Macaca fascicularis: one gene and its partner. The protein of the gene in region 1 binds, or shares a complex with, the protein of each later gene. Links are inferred from orthologs where the notes say so. Each region holds a gene or a part of one and is shown in the gene's direction. Other genes may lie near its edges.

Region 1 (4,528 bases):
GCGCCCGGCTAATTTTTGTATTTTTAGTAGAGACGGGGTTTCACCGTGTTAGTCAGGATGGTCTTGATCTCCTGACCTCGTGATCCGCCCGTCTCGGCCTCCCAAAGTGCTGGGATTACAGGCGTGAGCCACCGCGCCCGGCCTACCAGCAACTTCTTAACACTTCCTTTGTGAGGCAGGGCAGGGACCAGAACCCAGACCTCTGAGCTGTCCCTGCTGCTTGTGCTGGGTGTGGCGTGGCCAGTGGCCACTCATCCTCCTCAGTCTAGCAGCTCTGCCAACAACTAACAGTCTTTGGCTGATGGTCTCAGCTTCCTCATTTGGGATGGGTAATATTGTTGGCTCCCTTGTAGAGCTACTGACAGCACTAAGTCAGCTGAAACCAGGAAAGGGCTTTGAACAGCGCCTGCCCCGCTGTAGGCACTTAGGGGCTTTACTGTCGTCATCCTCCCTCCTCTCACCTCCCCACTCACTCCTGGCCCCTCTTCTGGATCCAGCCCCAAATCCGGGGAAGGGCTGAACACGGCCGGCCTGGCGTGGGTGGAGGGGGACAGCCAGGCCCCAAGGCTTGGCAGCTGCCTCGGGGTCACAGGTCAGCTCCTCCTCCCTTGACACAGCTGGTGGGGTTGGGGCCTGTCCTACCTGCCCCACCTAAGCTTCTAGGACCTCCCGCAACCCCAGTGCCGAGCCAGGCGACCTATCCTCAGCCTGGAAGGAAAGGTTCAGCCTCGAGGCCATTGTCCAGATGAGAAAAGGCCTGGGAGGTGGGTGGGGACAGGCAGACGGCCCCTCAGACAGTAGGGGCAGGGCTAAGCTTTGTTCATACACTGTTCTCTGTGGGGGCAGGCCCTTCCCCCATCTCAGTAAAGCCCCAATCCAACCCCAGAACAGTCCCAAATGCCACCTCCTGGGTATCCCGTCTCTTTCTTTGGCTAAGAAAGAATCCCCTGTACTGTGACAGAGCCTTTTGCGTTGGGTCCTGAAAGATGTGTAGGAGTTCCCCAGGGGCTGGGGGTGAGGAAAGAATTCCTGACTATAAAGCCAAGGCAAAAGCACGGCGGTGGGAGGTGCTCTGACACAGCGAGGAACAGACAAAATGGAGTTCTGTGAGAATGGTAAACTATAAACTTGGCAATCACTTGACCAATGGTGTAGATGGGGAAACTGAGGCGCAGAGGGGCCAGGGAGTTGTTCCAGTCAGAGATCTCTTGGCTTTCGGAATAGGGCTGCCCCATTACTTGAGTGGGCACGTCGCTCGCTCTCTGGGAGGAGGAAAAAATCTTCTCCAAGCCCAGGAACATGCGCCAGTCCCCCTCCAAAGCGCTTCCCCAGCCGCCCGCGTTGGAGCCCCGGCTCATGGACTACACGTCCCGGCAGGCCCCGCGCCGCGGCGCAGGCTAGGCGGGCGTCCCTTCGCGAGCCCGGCCGAGCCCGGGGGCCCAGTTCACCATTGTCTGGCCAACAGGGGCGGGGCGGGCGGTACGGCGGGCATGCTCATTGGTCGGACGGTGCGTCCGTCGCGCCCCGCGCCCACCCCCGTGCAGGCCCGGCCCCGCGCGCCCGCGCCCGGGCCGCCTGGTGCCCCGCCCGCGCCTCAGGACCGGCGGGGCCGCGCGGCGCATCCTGCGGGCGGCGGCGGCGGCGGCGGCGGCGGCGGGCGCGGCGCCGGCAGCCGGGCGCAAGATGATGAAGTTTCGGTTCCGGCGGCAGGGCGCCGACCCGCAGCGCGAGAAGCTCAAGCAAGAGCTTTTCGCCTTCAACAAGGTGCGGCTGCGGCGCGGGCGCGGGCTCGGGTGGGAGGGGGCGGGCCGGGGGCCCGGGCTGGGGACCCGGGGTCGGAGCCACGTCGGGCCCGGGGGGCGGGGGCTGGCATGCAGCGCGGCGCGGGGCGGGGGCTGGGCCGGGCCGCGCACCCCCTCCTCGGGCCCAGCTCTGGCTCGGACTCTGGGTGGGTCTGGGTCTCCGGCCGACTTTCCGTGTCTGCTCCCGAGTCTCTGCGGGCCGCTCTGGCCCTGGGTCTGCCAGTCTCTGTGTGTCTGGGTCTCTCTGTCTCTGAGACTCTTTGCCTGTCTTTGGGTCTCTGCCCCACTTTCTCCGTCGCTGACCGGCTCCCTCGCCCCAGTTGTGACTGTGTGTGTGGTGGGGGTGTCTCTGCCTCTGCCCCTTCCTATCTTTGCCTCTCATTTCTCTTTCTGCCTCTGCGTCTCTGAGTCTTTGCCTGTCTCTCCCTGCGTGTCTCTCTCTCTCTCTCTGTGGAGTCTCTCGACCTCTTCTCTGTCGCTCACTCTCTGTCTCTTTATCCTTTTTCTTTGGGGCTCCTTTGCGTCCCTGCTCGGCCCTTGGGACAGCCGTGGGCCCCGGTTTGTTTTGTGCTTTGGCACGCAGGAGGGCGAGAGAGTTAGTGGGGACGAGGCAGCTGTGGGGGGTGCGGCTGGGAAATCCCTTCAAGGAGCCTCTCCTTCCTTCCCCCACTGCTCCAGGCTCTGCCTTGCCCTGCTCTCCCCTGCCCTGCCCGGGGCCCCGAGTCCAGGGGACATGCCTGGCTGTGTACTACAGTGCCCTTCACATCGTGGGGCCTCAGTTTCCCTAGCTGTGAAATGAGGCTACTTTTCTCCTTACTGTGGGCCCTGGCTCCCTCTGCCACATGGGCCAGCTGTCCTGCTGCCCCGCACCAAGGTGGAGTGAAGTGGAGGCTTTTCCTTCCTTTCCCCAAGTGGGACACTAGGGGCCAGGGAAAGGGGCCGCCTCAGCCCCCGCCTCCCTATGCACTGATGTTAGAGCAGGGCCTCAGCCTGCTCCTGGCTCACTCCTCTGGGGGCGTTGGTTTTGTCCTCATTCTTACCCCAGAGCCCACGGATCGCAGAGCCTCTCAGTGCTCTTCGAAATTAGAGTTATCTTCAAAATACAGGTGAGAAAATTGAGGTTCTGAGAGAGGTGACGGCTTGCCCAGAGTCAGAGTGAGCTGCACCAATATCTTTCTCGAGTTCCTGTGTCAGTGGGGTTGGATTTTAGCCTTGAGGGGCGGGGATTTTTCCAAGGGGCTGCTGTGGTCCTGGGCCAGTGTTGTGCCAGGTGCCCTGGGCTGCCTTGAGGAGACCCTTGTCTTGGAGGAGGCTCTGGGACGGTTGGACCTGGAGTAGCAGAGGCACTGGGATGTCTCAGGGTTTCCCTGCCTAGGTCTGCAGTGGTTGCCGGTGAGAGCTGCCAGGACCTTCACAGGGTGGCTGAGAACCTGCCAGGAACCTGAGAGGGGGCCCAGAGGGGAAGCTGGTGCTCCGTGGTCCCCAGATAGTGCCTGTTTTCTGTGCTGGGGAGGCTATGAGAGTTAGGTGAGAGGAGAATGGCCCTTCAGGGAAAGGCAGCAACAGGCTCAGGGCTAAATGTCACTTTTTTTTGAAACGGGGTCTCACTCTCACCCAGGCTGAAGTGCAGTGGCACAGTCACAGCCCACTGCAGCCTCAACCTCCCTGGCTCAGGTGATCCTCCCACCTCAGCCTCCTGAGTAGCTGGGACTACAGGCTCATGTCACCATGCCTGGCTAGTTTTTGTATTTTTTGTAGAGGTGCGGTTTTACCATGTTGCCGAGGCTGGTCTCGAACTCCTGGGCTCAAGCTATCTATCCATCCATGTTGGCTTCCCAAAGTGCTAGGATTACAGGCATGAGCTACCATGCCTGGCCTAAATGTCATTTCTTCAGCCAGTAAATTGGGATGTGCAGTGGGGACTGGAGACAGGTGGGAATGAAGCTCAGCCCACTCTGTCTAGCCTTGGGGTGGTGGGAAGTAAGGGCCCTCCACTGAGGATGAAGTGTGGGCAGCAGTGGTGGAAAGTAGGGTGGTCTTGGGGAAGGGACTTAGTCACCTAAGTGGGTCATAGGGGATCGCTAGGGAATAGGCCCCTGATTCCTGAGTTTGGGGGGTGGGAGACAGGTCAGGAGTGAGCAGGGACTTTGGACTCCGAGTCTTGGGTTCAAATCCCAGTCCAGCCCACATGTCGCCTGTGGAGTGTGCCTTCTCTGTTAATACTGAGCCCCACTGTGTGTGAGGTCTACAAGGTTCTGGGGACAACAGTAGTTATCAAAAAGGACAAATATGTCTTAACTCAGGTGGCTGATATGCTAATGCAGGAGACAGTGAAAAGCCAAAACAAAAAAATAGAATAGACGGTAGTTGGGATGTTAGCCAGTGCTGTGGATCAAATAAAGCAGGGCGAGGGGGAGGGAGGTGTGGCCAGGGCGGCTGCTGCAGCCAGGGTGGCTTAGGGAGGCTTCTCTGAGGAGATGACTCCTGAGCGACAGGAAGTGCTGGAGGAAGTGCATGCCAGGCAGAGGGGCAGTAGGTACAAAGGCCCTGAGGCACAAGCCTCCCTTAGCTGGGAACCCCAGGAGGATCCTGAGCAGGGGAGGGACGAGGATCTGGCTGTGGCTTTCATAGGATCCCTCTGGCTTCTGTGTGGGAACAGACTGTAGTGAGCACCAATCCAGGTGAGTGACAGTGGGGCCTGGAGCAGGGAGGGGGGTGACTTCTGT
Region 2 (3,802 bases), on another chromosome or scaffold:
TGTTCTCTTTTTCCTCCTATTTTTCTTTAGCAAGGAATTGGTGATGATTCTCTGTTTTAATTACATGATAGGTGGAGAAAGTGCCACAAAGAAATCTTACCTATCACAAGCTTCAGATAATTCAATTTGTTCTGGAGTTGTACTTTCTAGAAATAAAAGGTAGACCATTCCAACTTCAGAAATAAGACTATCATGTGAGAGCACAAAATACAGATCACAAAGATGATTTATTTTAAAGCACGACATTCACCCAATTCTTGAAACATTTCTTTCACCATAGGACCCTAAGGAACGATTGGGTTGTCATCCTCAAACAGGATTTGCTGATATTCAGGGACACCCGTTCTTCCGAAATGTTGATTGGGATATGGTATGTAAATTTTGATTACTTTCTCTATTAGGTTTCATTATTATCTTCAGCCAAATCTTTTTTTTTTTTTTTTTTTAGGACAGAGTCTTGCTCTGTCACCCAGGCTGGCATGCAGTGGCACGATCTCGGCTCACTGCAACCTCTATCTCCCGGGTTCAAGCAGTTCTCCTGTCTCCGCCTCCCAAGTAGCTGGAATTACAGGCACGCACCACCACACCCGGCTAATTTTTGTATTTTTAGTAGAGATGGGGGGGTTTCACGATGTCGGCCAGGCTGGTCTCGAACTCCTGACATCAGGTGATCCACCCACCTTGGCCTCCCAAAGTGCTGGGATTACAGGTGTGAGCCACCGCACCTGGCCTATCTTGGGCCAAATTTTATTGTCTTAGCTAACATATCACAGCTTTAAAAACTTAAAACCACTTTCTAAACTGCTTTTTAGAAAACTTTTTAAACAAAAAAAATCCTTTTTTTAAAAATGTATTGTTTTTTCTGAGATGGAGTCACATTCTATTGCCCAGGTTGGAGCGCGATGGTGTGATCTCTGCTCACTGCAACCTCCGCCTCCTGGGTTCACGCAATTCTGCCTCAGCCTCCTAAGTAGCTGGGATTACAGGCACATGCCACCATGCCCAGCTAATTTTTATATTTTTAGTGGAGACAACGTTTCATCATGTTGGCCAGGCTGGTCTTGAACTCCAGACCTCAAGTGATCCACCTGCCTCAGCCTCCCAAAGTGTTGGGATTCCAGGGGTGAGCCACCGTGCCCAGCCAAAAAATTGAATATTAATGTAATAAAGCAGGTTATAATGTTATTGAAGCCCATATCAATGTTTATACTTGTTTTTGTTTGTTTGTTTGTTTGTTTGTTTTTTTAAGAGAAACAGTCTCACTCCATCGCCCAGGCTGTACTGTAGCTCACGACAGCCTTGATTGAACTCCTAGACTCAAGAGATCCTCCTGTGTTAACCTCTCAAGTAGCTGGGACTATAGGCATAAGCCATGGTACCCAGCTAATTTTCAATTTTTTTTTTTGGTTTGTTTTTTTTGAGGTGGAATCTTGCTCTGTCTCCCAGGCTGGAGTGTTGTGGCACAATCTCGGCTCACTGCAACCTTCGCCACCTAGGTTCAAGCAATTCTCCTGTCTCAGCCTCCAGAGTAGCTGGGATTATAGGTGCACGCCACCACGCCTGGCTAATTTCTGTATTTTTAGTAGAGACAGGGTTTTGCTATGTTGGCCAGACTGGTCTTGAATCCCTGACCTCAGGTGATTTACGCACCTTGGCCTCCCAAAGTGATGGGATTACAGGCATGAACTGCTGTGCCCAGCCAATTTTTAATTTTTTAATAGAGATGGGGTCTTGCTATATTGTCCGGGCTGGTCTTGAACTCCTGGCCTCAAGTGGTCCTCCCATCTCAACCTACCAAGCAGTTGGGATTATAGGCATGAGCCACCATGCCCAGCTCATATTTGTAAATTATGTTCATCATTGCTAATATCATTGTACCGTGCTTCAGGACTCACTTTAATAAGGGAAACAATGAGTGCAGAGGAGAACTGTAGAGGTGCAATTTTTCTAATAATACAGACTTGAGCTGTCATCCAATATGTCTTTTCAGATGGAGCAAAAACAGGTGGTACCTCCCTTTAAACCAAATATTTCTGGGGAATTTGGTTTGGACAACTTTGATTCTCAGTTTACCAATGAACCTGTCCAGCTCACTCCAGATGACGAGTAAGTAATTCTGTACACTGAAATTTTTTTTTAAGTTTTTTGGAAATCCCATTTTTAGTGACTATGCAATGTTTCATGATCAGATTATACTATTAATTTTTTTATTTTTTATTTTATTTCATTTTATTTTATTTTTGAGACAGAGTCTCGCTCTGTCTCCCAGGCTGGAGTGCAGTGGTGCAATCTTGGCTCACTGCAACCTCTGCCTCCCAGGTTCAAGTGATTCTCCTGCCTCAGCCACCCTGAGTAGCTGGGACTACAGGCTCATGCCACGACACCCAGCTAATTTTTATATTTTTAGTAAGGACGGCGTTTGCCATGTTGGCCAGGCTGATCCTGAACTCCTGACCTCAGGTGATCCACCCACCTTGGCCTCTTAAAGTGCTGGGATTACAGGCGTGAGCCACTGCGCCCGGCCTATACTATAATTTATATAACCATTCAGTTACTGGTATTTGAATCCACTGTACTATTATAAGTTTTAATAGTAACTGTCATTTTCTCCTTTGCTTTATCGTGCATTATCTCATTTTCACAACAACTTTGTAAACTAGTTAAATTGTCATCTTCATTTTACAGATGAGGAAACTGAGGCTCAGAGAGGTTAAGCAAAGTTACACAGCTATCAGGTGGTAGAGTCAGGATTCAAACCCAAATCTCTCTGTCCTGCTGCACTGTTTCCCATTTGACAAGGACTGTCTTTGTCTGTCTAAGTTCCTGAGTATTGCCTTAAGATAGATTCTTAGAAAGGGAATTAGGTCAGAGGGTATTAACATTTTAAAGCTCTTGATATGTATTGCCAAATTGCTTTTTTTAAGGAATTACATTGAGTTATTAAATCCAGCCAGCAGTGAGCTGATATATTTTTTTGTACTTATACTGCATCTTTTAAAAATATACCTTAAAATAATTGGGGGATATTTTGATTATTTACCTGTTGTTACAGATTCATTCTCTCTAATCTCAAGGAGGCCCTTATTGTTTGGCAGTCATTTTACTTCTATCTTATTTCTTACCACATTTCTCCCAGCACCTGCTCCAAACAGTCTCTTCATTTCAGAAGCCTTCAGTTCTACTCCTTTTTCCATCACTGTTAAAGGATTAACCTTGTCTTATTTTGATGCAAGGACTGATAACCTCTCTGGCGTGACCTTGCCTCCTTTCCAGCTGTCACCAGACCACCTTGCATCTCAGAATTGCTTTCTAATTCTTTTCAACATTTTCTTATTCCCTACTCTTGGAAGGCTCTCCTTTACAAGGAGCGTCCCTCCTATTTTCCTAGACCTGTTTCTGTAGTTTTCTCCAATATTTCATTTTGTCAGTTATCTTGTTATTGGACCTTCTTAGATTTATTTTTTTCTAGCTTGCTTCCCTCTGTGTAAGCATGCTCAGATTCTCTGATTTTTTCCCCCTAACTCATAGTCCCTCTTTGAACAACCACATTTTTCCTCATTTTCATTTCGTCTTGAAGCCTCAAAAAAAAAAAAAAACAAAAAAAAAAAAGTCAATAGATGTTCATGGTCAAAGAAAAATAAATATGCAGCACCTCTAATCTAACTTCTTCAGACTAGTCAACGTTGATTGTCTTGAATTTTTTTTTTTTCTGTCAACACTTCAACCCCTTACAACTGAGCCTGTCCTCCAGCTTTTGAAAGTTGAATCAATTTCTTAATTTCTAAATTGTAAAGCATTTTGG

The links.
Region 2: the proteins of LLGL1 (region 1) and PRKCI are in contact, whole or in part, in a cryo-EM structure (PDB 8R3Y), measured with the Homo sapiens proteins. The link is inferred for Macaca fascicularis from reciprocal best matches to the Homo sapiens genes LLGL1 and PRKCI. Residues at the interface, in NP_004131.4 of Homo sapiens: Ala315, Asp319, Glu367, His391, Ser392, Ala394, Thr396, Glu453, Cys483, Glu484, His485, Phe506, Asp507, Pro508, Tyr509, Ser510, Asp511, Pro513, Gln518, Lys519, Lys569, Ala600, Val601, Thr602, Leu644, Gly648, Pro649, Leu650, Ser651, Arg652; in NP_002731.4 of Homo sapiens: Asp339, Met341, Gln345, Arg348, Leu381, Asp382, Met399, Thr412, Phe413, Cys414, Pro417, Leu425, Glu445, Gly449, Arg450, Ser451, Gly457, Ser458, Ser459, Asp460, Asn461, Pro462, Asp463, Asn465, Thr466, Glu467, Asp468, Tyr469, Leu470, Phe471.

The regions. Positions count from the first base shown.
Region 1 is NC_088390.1:18,351,398-18,355,925, forward strand, and holds the start of LLGL1 (lethal(2) giant larvae protein homolog 1), read left to right. Parts: upstream 1-1,605; 5' UTR 1,606-1,683; coding exon 1,684-1,764; intron 1,765-4,528. UniProt on the Homo sapiens protein: Cortical cytoskeleton protein found in a complex involved in maintaining cell polarity and epithelial integrity. Involved in the regulation of mitotic spindle orientation, proliferation, differentiation and tissue organization of neuroepithelial cells.
Region 2 is NC_088376.1:81,805,421-81,809,222, forward strand, and holds part of PRKCI (protein kinase C iota type), read left to right. Parts: intron 1-280; coding exon 281-370; intron 371-1,990; coding exon 1,991-2,106; intron 2,107-3,802.